2 linked regions of the Arabidopsis thaliana genome follow. The protein of the gene in region 1 interacts with the protein of each later gene in a pairwise test. Each region holds a gene or a part of one and is shown in the gene's direction. Other genes may lie near its edges.

Region 1 (4,698 bases):
TATCAACTATCAAGTAGTGTTAGGTCAAACTCTATTTGTCTAGAAAATAAATATATGGATCAGACATGATTGGGTTGGACATATAATTGAAGTGTCTTATGCGGGCGGAATAATAATAATATGATCTTGGACGGGAAATGATATACAGTACTCAAGTGCTTAATCCATGATCCTTTGAATTTGAGCAAGTTTATCTACATCACAGGTCTGGTAGATAAAGATGTGAATGATATTCTTACGACTATATATTTTGGTTACCAAGCAATAATCATTGTTACAATAACACATATATATTGTGGAGAGAAACAAAACTATAATTTGTTATTACCAATTCATTCGGATGCCATACTTCTTCAGTCGGCTACGATGTAAGTTTGATTTTATCGAAAATGTTGAGATCAATGATCACGGGTCAAGACGGCTTGCAGGGAGCTCGAAGACAAGTTGAACGTTGCCTTCGGAGATAGTGAAGCCGATCAAAAACCGTTTTTCAATAGTTACAATATCATTGAACTGATCTCCACATTCTCACTTTTCTATGTTTCCTGGTTTGTAAGATTTTTGAACGATCATTTTAATTTGCTTCCATTGTATATTTAAAGACCAAAGTCTTGATGGATGATGAAGTAGACTTGAAAATTGATGAAACCCGTTATTGTGTTGTTGTGTTACAAATCCCATCTATGATCGTTGATCTCATAGATGATCATTGATCATTTTTCTCATTTTTCTATGATGAAGTAGACTTTTTCCGGAAGGCTTATGAGAAAAAAATACTATTCTTGTTTTGTAAACATATGTGTTCAATAAAGAATCTATTTTCATTTGCAATCATTCGGATTAATTAAAGTGATTGCTGGATGAATGTTTTGAATCTCTTTTTACCATTTCGCTACAAAAATAAAAAAATTGCGAATTTCGCATCCAGATATATACTAGTATTAAGCATGGGAGATTATTCACTCCTCGAACACATCCTATGACTATGAGTTACACAAATCAAAATTTTTACATTCCAACGTTGATGATCCTTTGGATTTGGTATTTTTCCATGTCATACTATTGTAACTTTGTTTGTAATTTCTTTCTGGTCAATATTACTCTATTGTGGATGCAAGATCGCATAACTAGTCCTCCATCGAATCAAACATGATCACAATTTTAAGAATCAAACTGGACTTTTATATACCGAAATAAAGTTACAAAGATTTCGCTGAGATGTTCTTACTTCTTAGAGCTAGATGAGTAAGTAATATTAGGGATTTTCTAGTGTACAATTGATGCCTCTATACATTACTCTCCATCAGATTTATAGGACTTGACCTCGTCTGCTTCTCTGATATTTCCCAGAAATCTCGCTCCTTTTAGTTTCTGCTTGAATCTATCAAATCCTAGTGATTTTGCGACCACCTACTTCTTTATTCTTTCCTTTTTGTTGGTTATGTCCAAACTGATTTAAGAGTATCCACATTGGTTATTTTTATGAGTGTTTTTAGATGGCTATTTTTAAATATAAAAGAGTAAAACAAATAAAAAATATGAGGGTCATTAAAATGAAAATTATATCTTCCTAAAACATTTAAGACATCTATACCTTTAATATTATTTTATATGAAATACATCTATGAAAAATTATTCGATGAGGATGGTCTAATGAGTCGGAGAGTCTCAGACCAACATCTATCTATAACTATTTTTTTTTTCACTGGAAATATAGATTTCATTGATAGAAGATCTGAGTACAAGAGCTGACAAGAGAAACACTCTTCTAAAAGCCGGAGAGTACATGGGACCTTCCAGGAACTAAAAACATATTTAAATGAAACAAAGGGGAAAAAAACCGATCTAACAAATTACATCACATCTGATCAAGTACTTCCCAGACCCAAAATCCAAGAGTTCAAACGAAATATACAAAGTCTAAAACAACAATGATAAACTGATAGATCTGAGACTAGAAGCCTCACTTAACTCAACCTAAACACGAATGGGCGATGAGATAAAACCATCATCCAGAGACCCAAAGGAGTGAGAGCCTCATGAAGGAGAGAACGAGATCGGGATCTTCAGGTGGAATTTCAGAAGTCTGAGGCGAAAATTTGGATAGAAACGCTTCTGCCTTGGATGGATCGGCCAGATCTGACTCTGTTCTTGAAAAAGACAAAAGACAAACAGCAAAAACCTAAAAAGAAAAAGTTTTAGACTTTAAATATCTAGATCTGAAAATTCAGATTCACAACCGTTGGAAAAAAATCTCTCAGATGTGTCTAAAGAAAAAAGATAGAATAAGAGCAAAACAAAAGACTTCGGTTCCGGTGCTGAGAAAGCCACCGGAACCGGTAACCCTAAACGCAGGCGGCGGCTGAAGTTTTAGAGATAAGGGAGAGTAAAATTTTAAGAGTGAGAAAATGACGAGATGTGAGCTTGTAAATACTTTTTGTAATATAAGTAACTATAAGTAATATTTTTTTTGTAATACCTCAAATTTTATTTTTAATGATATTTACAAGTTTAACAAAACAAAAACAAAAAACAAAATATTATTCTAGTCATAGCAAGTGAGAATTTTTGAAAAGGGAATAAATGTGTGTAATTAATTCAACGGTCCAACAGTGGCTTGGACCTAACACTAATGACATTTGTTCTTCTTGTAATTTTTATGTGGCTGTCTTCTTGTACCAAGTACGTAGACAATAGTTTGATTCTATTTGGAATCAAAACTCAAATTACATTTACAAGAAAAACGATCACAGATACAGTAATTCGTAGTATTCGCCAAAGTTCCTTTTGCAACTTTCAAAAAGTGCAAAAACAAGACCACTTTTTCGTAATAAGATAGTAGCAAAAAAGCACGACTATTCCATAAAACTGTCCACGTCCCTCCAGAAAACTCCCCCCACATGCGATTTGCCACGTGTCCCCACTCAACTACACACAAAGCCATTTTAAATCAAATTATTAATCAAACTTAAAAAACGTAATCGTGTGCTGATGATGATGATGACACTGTCACTGCCTCAAAAACCTCTATAAATTAGTCCTCTTCACCGAATCCTTGTAAATCATTACTGTACTTTTCTCTCTTAACGGTTTCTTTATTATTCTTCCCATTCTACCCCTCTTCTTCCTTCTAATTCCCCCTCAAATGCCACTGTCTTCTCACTAAACTCCAAAACCCACCGGAAAAAATGATTACGTGGCACGACTTGTACACCGTCCTCACCGCCGTGGTACCACTTTACGTAGCTATGATTCTCGCCTACGGATCCGTACAGTGGTGGAAGATATTCTCACCAGACCAGTGCTCCGGCATCAACCGCTTCGTCGCTATCTTCGCCGTCCCTCTCCTCTCCTTCCACTTCATCTCCACCAACGATCCTTACGCCATGAATTTCCGCTTCGTCGCCGCCGACACGCTTCAAAAAATCATCATGCTCGTCTTACTTGCTCTATGGGCTAACCTAACCAAGAACGGTAGCTTGGAGTGGATGATCACAATCTTCTCTCTCAGCACTCTCCCAAACACTCTTGTCATGGGGATCCCTCTGTTGATCGCCATGTACGGAACCTACGCAGGTTCTCTAATGGTCCAAGTCGTTGTTCTTCAGTGTATCATTTGGTACACTCTCCTTCTCTTCCTCTTCGAGTACCGTGGCGCTAAGCTTCTTATTATGGAGCAGTTCCCGGAGACTGGTGCGTCTATTGTTTCGTTTAAAGTTGAATCCGACGTCGTTTCTCTCGACGGTCATGATTTTCTTGAGACGGATGCTGAGATAGGAAACGACGGGAAGCTTCATGTTACCGTGAGGAAATCAAACGCATCGAGACGGTCACTGATGATGACTCCACGGCCTTCGAATCTTACCGGAGCTGAGATCTATAGTCTTAGTTCGACTCCGAGAGGTTCTAACTTTAACCATTCTGATTTTTACTCTGTTATGGGGTTTCCCGGCGGGAGGCTTTCGAATTTTGGTCCGGCGGATTTGTACTCCGTTCAATCTTCTCGTGGTCCGACTCCACGGCCTTCGAACTTCGAAGAGAACAACGCCGTTAAATATGGATTTTACAATAACACTAACAGTTCTGTTCCGGCGGCCGGTTCGTACCCGGCTCCGAACCCGGAGTTTTCAACCGGTACGGGTGTTTCAACTAAACCGAATAAAATTCCTAAAGAAAACCAACAGCAACTGCAAGAGAAAGATAGCAAAGCGAGCCATGACGCTAAGGAGCTTCACATGTTTGTTTGGAGCTCAAGCGCTTCTCCGGTCTCCGACGTGTTTGGCGGAGGTGCAGGCGACAACGTGGCAACGGAACAATCTGAACAAGGTGCTAAGGAGATTCGGATGGTTGTCTCTGATCAACCTCGAAAGAGTAATGCTAGAGGTTCTTTTTTTTTTTTTTTTTTGTCATCAAATATTATTTAGCTAAAATTGCGGAAAATTGTTTACATAAATAATATGCTAGAGGTTTGTTGGTTTAATTTTATTATTATTCGAATACTATTATTTTTGTATGTATTCATGATTTTTGGTTTTCTCAGGTGGTGGTGATGATATCGGCGGTCTTGATAGTGGAGAGGGAGAAAGAGAGATAGAGAAAGCTACAGCAGGGCTGAATAAAATGGGGTCTAATTCCACGGCGGAGCTAGAGGCGGCTGGTGGAGATGGCGGCGGCAACAACGGAACACATATGCCGCCG
Region 2 (4,698 bases), on another chromosome or scaffold:
TACATAACACAAACATTGGGCCTTAATGGGCCAACGAAATTGGCAAGGTGAAGAAGAACAAAATGTGGGCAAAAGTTTGTTGCTCATTTAAGTCACCTATATATGCATTACAACGTACGACGTATAGTGGAGGTAGGTGAGAAAAGAATCTAAAAAGAGTTCTAGAGAAGAGAGATAAAAGAGCTTCCTAAACAAGCTTTCTTCTTCCTCTTTGTTGTTCTTGAATCTTTGTTCTTCTTGAGTGCAAATCTGTAAAACCAAAAGACATCATCACAAGTTAGTGAAGCTTGGGAGCAAGAGATCTCCCCCGAGACCCCGAGACGTAGCGGTTGAGGCCGTGAACTCGGTTACCAATTTCTGTGTCTGTTTATTTTCTTACCAAGCAATCTCTATCACTCTTTTCTCCACAAAAGTAATGAATAAATAACATAATAATGTTGTATATAACATACCAAACCCGAGGCAATTACAAGACAAAAACCATTATCCTACAAATTAAAAATTCAAGACAAATAGCCAAAAACCATAATCTATATCTTGAAGCCGAGATCATAGTCAAAACCATCATCCCATCATGTTACACATAAATCCGATAATCCAAATTAAAACCATCATCCTGAACATCATAAGTTTCCCAAACCAAAAGCTTTTACACAATTAATCACTAAGTGAAATTTGTGATACTTGATTCGGACCTTGATAAGAATGAAAGTGTAATCCTTTGTATTTCTTATCTATCAATCCAATTACAAAGAATCAAAACCCTAATCGATAAGCTTGAAGTTACAGTTCTCCAATCTTATCTCCTAAGAACAGAGCACATGCATAAGCCCTAATTCTACTCACAACATCAATATGATCACGAAGGATGCTTTTCTCTCTACTCTCTCTTAGACTCTTACTATTTATAAGTTTCTTCACACGTGACTCCGATCTCTCACTTCAGTTCTCACACGTGCCAACTTCTCATGAACGTATCAGACCTTCACCAAGTTGTTTTGTGGCCGACTTTTAGCTTGGATTCCAACATTAAAAATGTCATTCTCATCATCACCTCCTCTAACATCATTTCCATCATCACAAACTCGAGCATTCTCACCATTGACGTTTTCACAAGCTCTTTTCATCATTACATTCTTCAAGAATCTATTCCTTCTCCGTAAATATAACAACCGCTTTTGTCCACTTTGCAGCTAGACACATTCTCTCGAAAATATCATCTCTAGTATACAACGGTTCAGCTCTATAAACTTCTCAAAAGGAAGCTTATACCGTATCCTTTGCCCAAACAAAGACAATCCCACCGACTCCATCATGTTATTAAAAAAATTTTCTTGCATGCACACAAGTGTGTGAATCTGGCCTCCATCATATGTAAAAACATTACCGTCTGTACAAACAAAAAAAACTATTTTTGGCGAAAAAATTATCGTCGAAATATTGTTGGTAGGAAAAACACAATTTTATTTTGTTAACTTTAAACATTAAAAAAATAAGGATATATGGTTATTAAAAATTAAAAGAGAGTAATGAAAATGAATTACATGAAAGGGTAGAATTAAAAATGAGTAGCATTGGAAGGTCATTCCTAATAATTTATTTATTATAAATTCTAGATATTTATAAAATAAAAACTCAAATATTATTATATATTATACTATAAATTAATAAAAAATATTTTCTACAAATAAAAACATTTTTTAAAAATTAATTATTAAGCATTTAATCGATAGTTTTGATACGTATATAATAAAATATAGTTTTTAGTCTTTGTATTGATTACTGAAGTTCTACATTATAGCTAAAGCTAAAGCTAAATCCAAAAACAGAGGCTAGGATCGGAACAGAAGAACAAAACTATGTTGTGGTGTAGAGCGTTTGGGTCCATTTCTTGTTGTTAGCTAAAGCTATGTCTGGAGTGTTTGACGTTACATGCTAAATTTAGGTACAACTTAAACTTTTGTCTTTTTCTTGAAAACACGTGTTGAACAAATCTTTTCTGGTCGATAACTCAAGAAATCTTATCTGGTCGCAATCCATCTTATACCGACGTGAAATCTCAAGACACGTGAATATATAACTTGTTCATAATAACATTATCACTTTTATCGAACGCACAAAAGATCCTCCGCTATAAATATTTGTGGTGAAGAACTCTTTATACCAAACAAAAAAAGCTAAATACCAAATAAATGTTGGTACTCATCATACATATATAACTAACTCACCTTTTTGGTGTGTAGATAAATATATCTAACTAACTCCATTACATATTCCAGTCATTTGCTTATAAATTATAACCGTCACACTTACCAATTCAGTCACTTAACCAAACATGTCTGAAAAGGGGTTGATAAAAAAAGAAGACCACATGTTTCAAGAGGAGAAGAGAAAGACAAACTATGGAGCAATTGGCTTGGCTTGCTTCATTTCTTGTTTCTTTGCATTCCAATTCATGAAAATCGTAACAACACAACCTTCAACAACAACAACATCATCCATTGCCGTTATCGATAGCCCAATGTCCTCCCATAAGCTATCTGATAGGAGAGAAATATGGAGAGTTATCCCACCATCTACCTATTGTCTCAAAATCGAATCTTTCATAAAATTCGCCACTTCTCCAAACGCCGAGAAGTACGAATCCCGTCCTTTTGAATCCGGTGGATACAACTGGTAAGTAGTATTTTATCCTACATTTTGCATATGTCTTTGCATCACAAATTTTCAACGACACATTTGATTGTAAGACTATATATCCTTTTGCAAACAGGACACTTATTGTCTATCCTAAAGGAAACATTAAGGAAGGAGCTCCACTTAATTACGTTTCAATGTACGTCCAAATAGACAATTCAACACTCCTTAACTCTCCAAAAGAAGTTTACGCAGAAGTCAAATTCTTCATTTATAACCGGAAAGAGGACAAGTACTTAACATATCAAGGTATATACATCCGAACGCCCTATTTATATCTTATTTATAAACTATATTGTATTAATCAAATTTTCAACGTTTAAATTTAAAACAATTGAGACGCTGATAGTTTGCATAGTTTCAAATGCCAAAATTTGCATTTAAAAACACACAATCTCAAACGCATGTCTTGGTACACAGAGACGGATGCAAAACGCTTTTTTCTGTTCAAACCATATTGGGGATATGGTAATGTTAGACCCTACACCGACGTGGCTAATCCCAATGCTGGTTGGCTTTTCGACGGTGACAATGTTTTATTCGGTGTGGACGTATTTGTCACTGAAGTTTTTAACAAATGGGAAGTGTTCTCATTCACTAAGAGTTTGCATGACCGCCTTTACAAATGGACGTTACCCAATTTCTCGTCACTAGAGAAACAGTACTATGTCTCTGACAAGTTCGTGATCGGTGGGAGAAGCTGGTGAGTTCCTCATGTCATAAATTCTTTAAGCCACATATTGATACTTAGTCCTGGATGTTCGGTTATCCATTCCGTTATCGGTTTTTTCGGTTCTAAAGTTATTATCTATTTGGTTATTTTGAAATTTCGGTTTGGTTCTTTCGGTTTTAAATTTAGTATCCATTCCGTTATTTTGATTTGAATATTTTCGGATATTTTAATTATTTTTGGATATTTCGGTTATTTTTGGATATTTTTGATTATTTTTGAATATTTTAACTATTTTATATATATTTTTAATTATTTAGTTTAAAAATAACTAATATTTTTAATTATTTAGTTTAAAAATAACTAATATTTTTGGAAATATATTTATATTTCAGATATTTTGGTTATCCGGGATATTTTGGTACGTAGCCATTTAGTTTCGGTTCTTTCGGTTCTTTCGGTTATATATAGAATTTAGTATCCATTTGATTATTTTTTAATTTTTGATTCCGTTCGATTCTGTTATTTTGTTTCGATTTTAGTTCGGTACATTCGATTAGGTTTATTTGCGCAGGCTTACTAATACTGATTCAAGAAAAAATTAACTATTTACAATATTTTAATATACAACTCTTAGGGCTTTGAAAGTGTATCCAAGTGGCGATGGCGAAGGACAGGGTAACTCGTTGTCGTTATATGTTGTTGCGGTTGATGTTAAGCCGTATGACAAGATTTACCTAAAAGCTAAGCTACGGATTATAAACCAGAGAGATTCTAAACACATGGAGAAGAAAGGTAAATTATATCGAACCATAATAGTGTGGCTAATGTTACTTACTCTATTAATTTTTTTCTTTTAGAGTTTAATTAACACTAACTTAATGACAGTTGAAAGCTGGTCGGATCAAGCAAACAGTTGGGGATTCCAGAAGTTTGTACCATTTGCTGATCTTAAGGATACTTCTAAAGGTCTTCTTGTGAATGATACATTGAAGATGGAGATTGAATTTGAAGATTTCTCTAACACAAAATACTTTCCAAGTTAAGTTTTGCATAATGCAAAACCAGAGAGCTTGGAACCAATTGTGTTCTGTTTTTTAAGTGTTTTTGTGCTAATAATTGGAGGATTGGTCTTCCTAAGGTTTAGGAGCCTATCTCCCACTTTTCCCAATTCCCTAGTTTGTAGAAATCGTTGATTCCAAGCTAGCTTTTCTTGTACTTGTTTCCTATTTAAATAAATGAAAACTAAGAATAAAAGCAGTCTTAATTTACCATTGAAAAACTCTTGTTCTTACTTCATTCTAGCTGCGACTAAGACTAACACTAACCGT

Evidence for each region.
Region 2: the proteins of PIN4 (region 1) and AT3G28220 interact in a protein complementation assay, tested with the Arabidopsis thaliana proteins (one large-scale study listed by BioGRID).

Annotation. Positions count from the first base shown.
Region 1 is NC_003071.7:181,690-186,387, reverse strand, and holds the start of PIN4 (Auxin efflux carrier family protein), read left to right. Parts: upstream 1-2,623; 5' UTR 2,624-3,188; coding exon 3,189-4,383; intron 4,384-4,540; coding exon 4,541-4,698. UniProt on the Arabidopsis thaliana protein: Acts as a component of the auxin efflux carrier. Plays a role in generating a sink for auxin into columella cells. Maintains the endogenous auxin gradient, which is essential for correct root patterning.
Region 2 is NC_003074.8:10,522,085-10,526,782, forward strand, and holds AT3G28220 (TRAF-like family protein), read left to right. Parts: upstream 1-2,096; 5' UTR 2,097-2,335; coding exon 2,336-2,676; intron 2,677-2,773; coding exon 2,774-2,946; intron 2,947-3,117; coding exon 3,118-3,400; intron 3,401-4,004; coding exon 4,005-4,162; intron 4,163-4,255; coding exon 4,256-4,413; 3' UTR 4,414-4,649; downstream 4,650-4,698. Other genes in the region: AT3G28216 (uncharacterized protein), read right to left, coding at 1,194-1,340.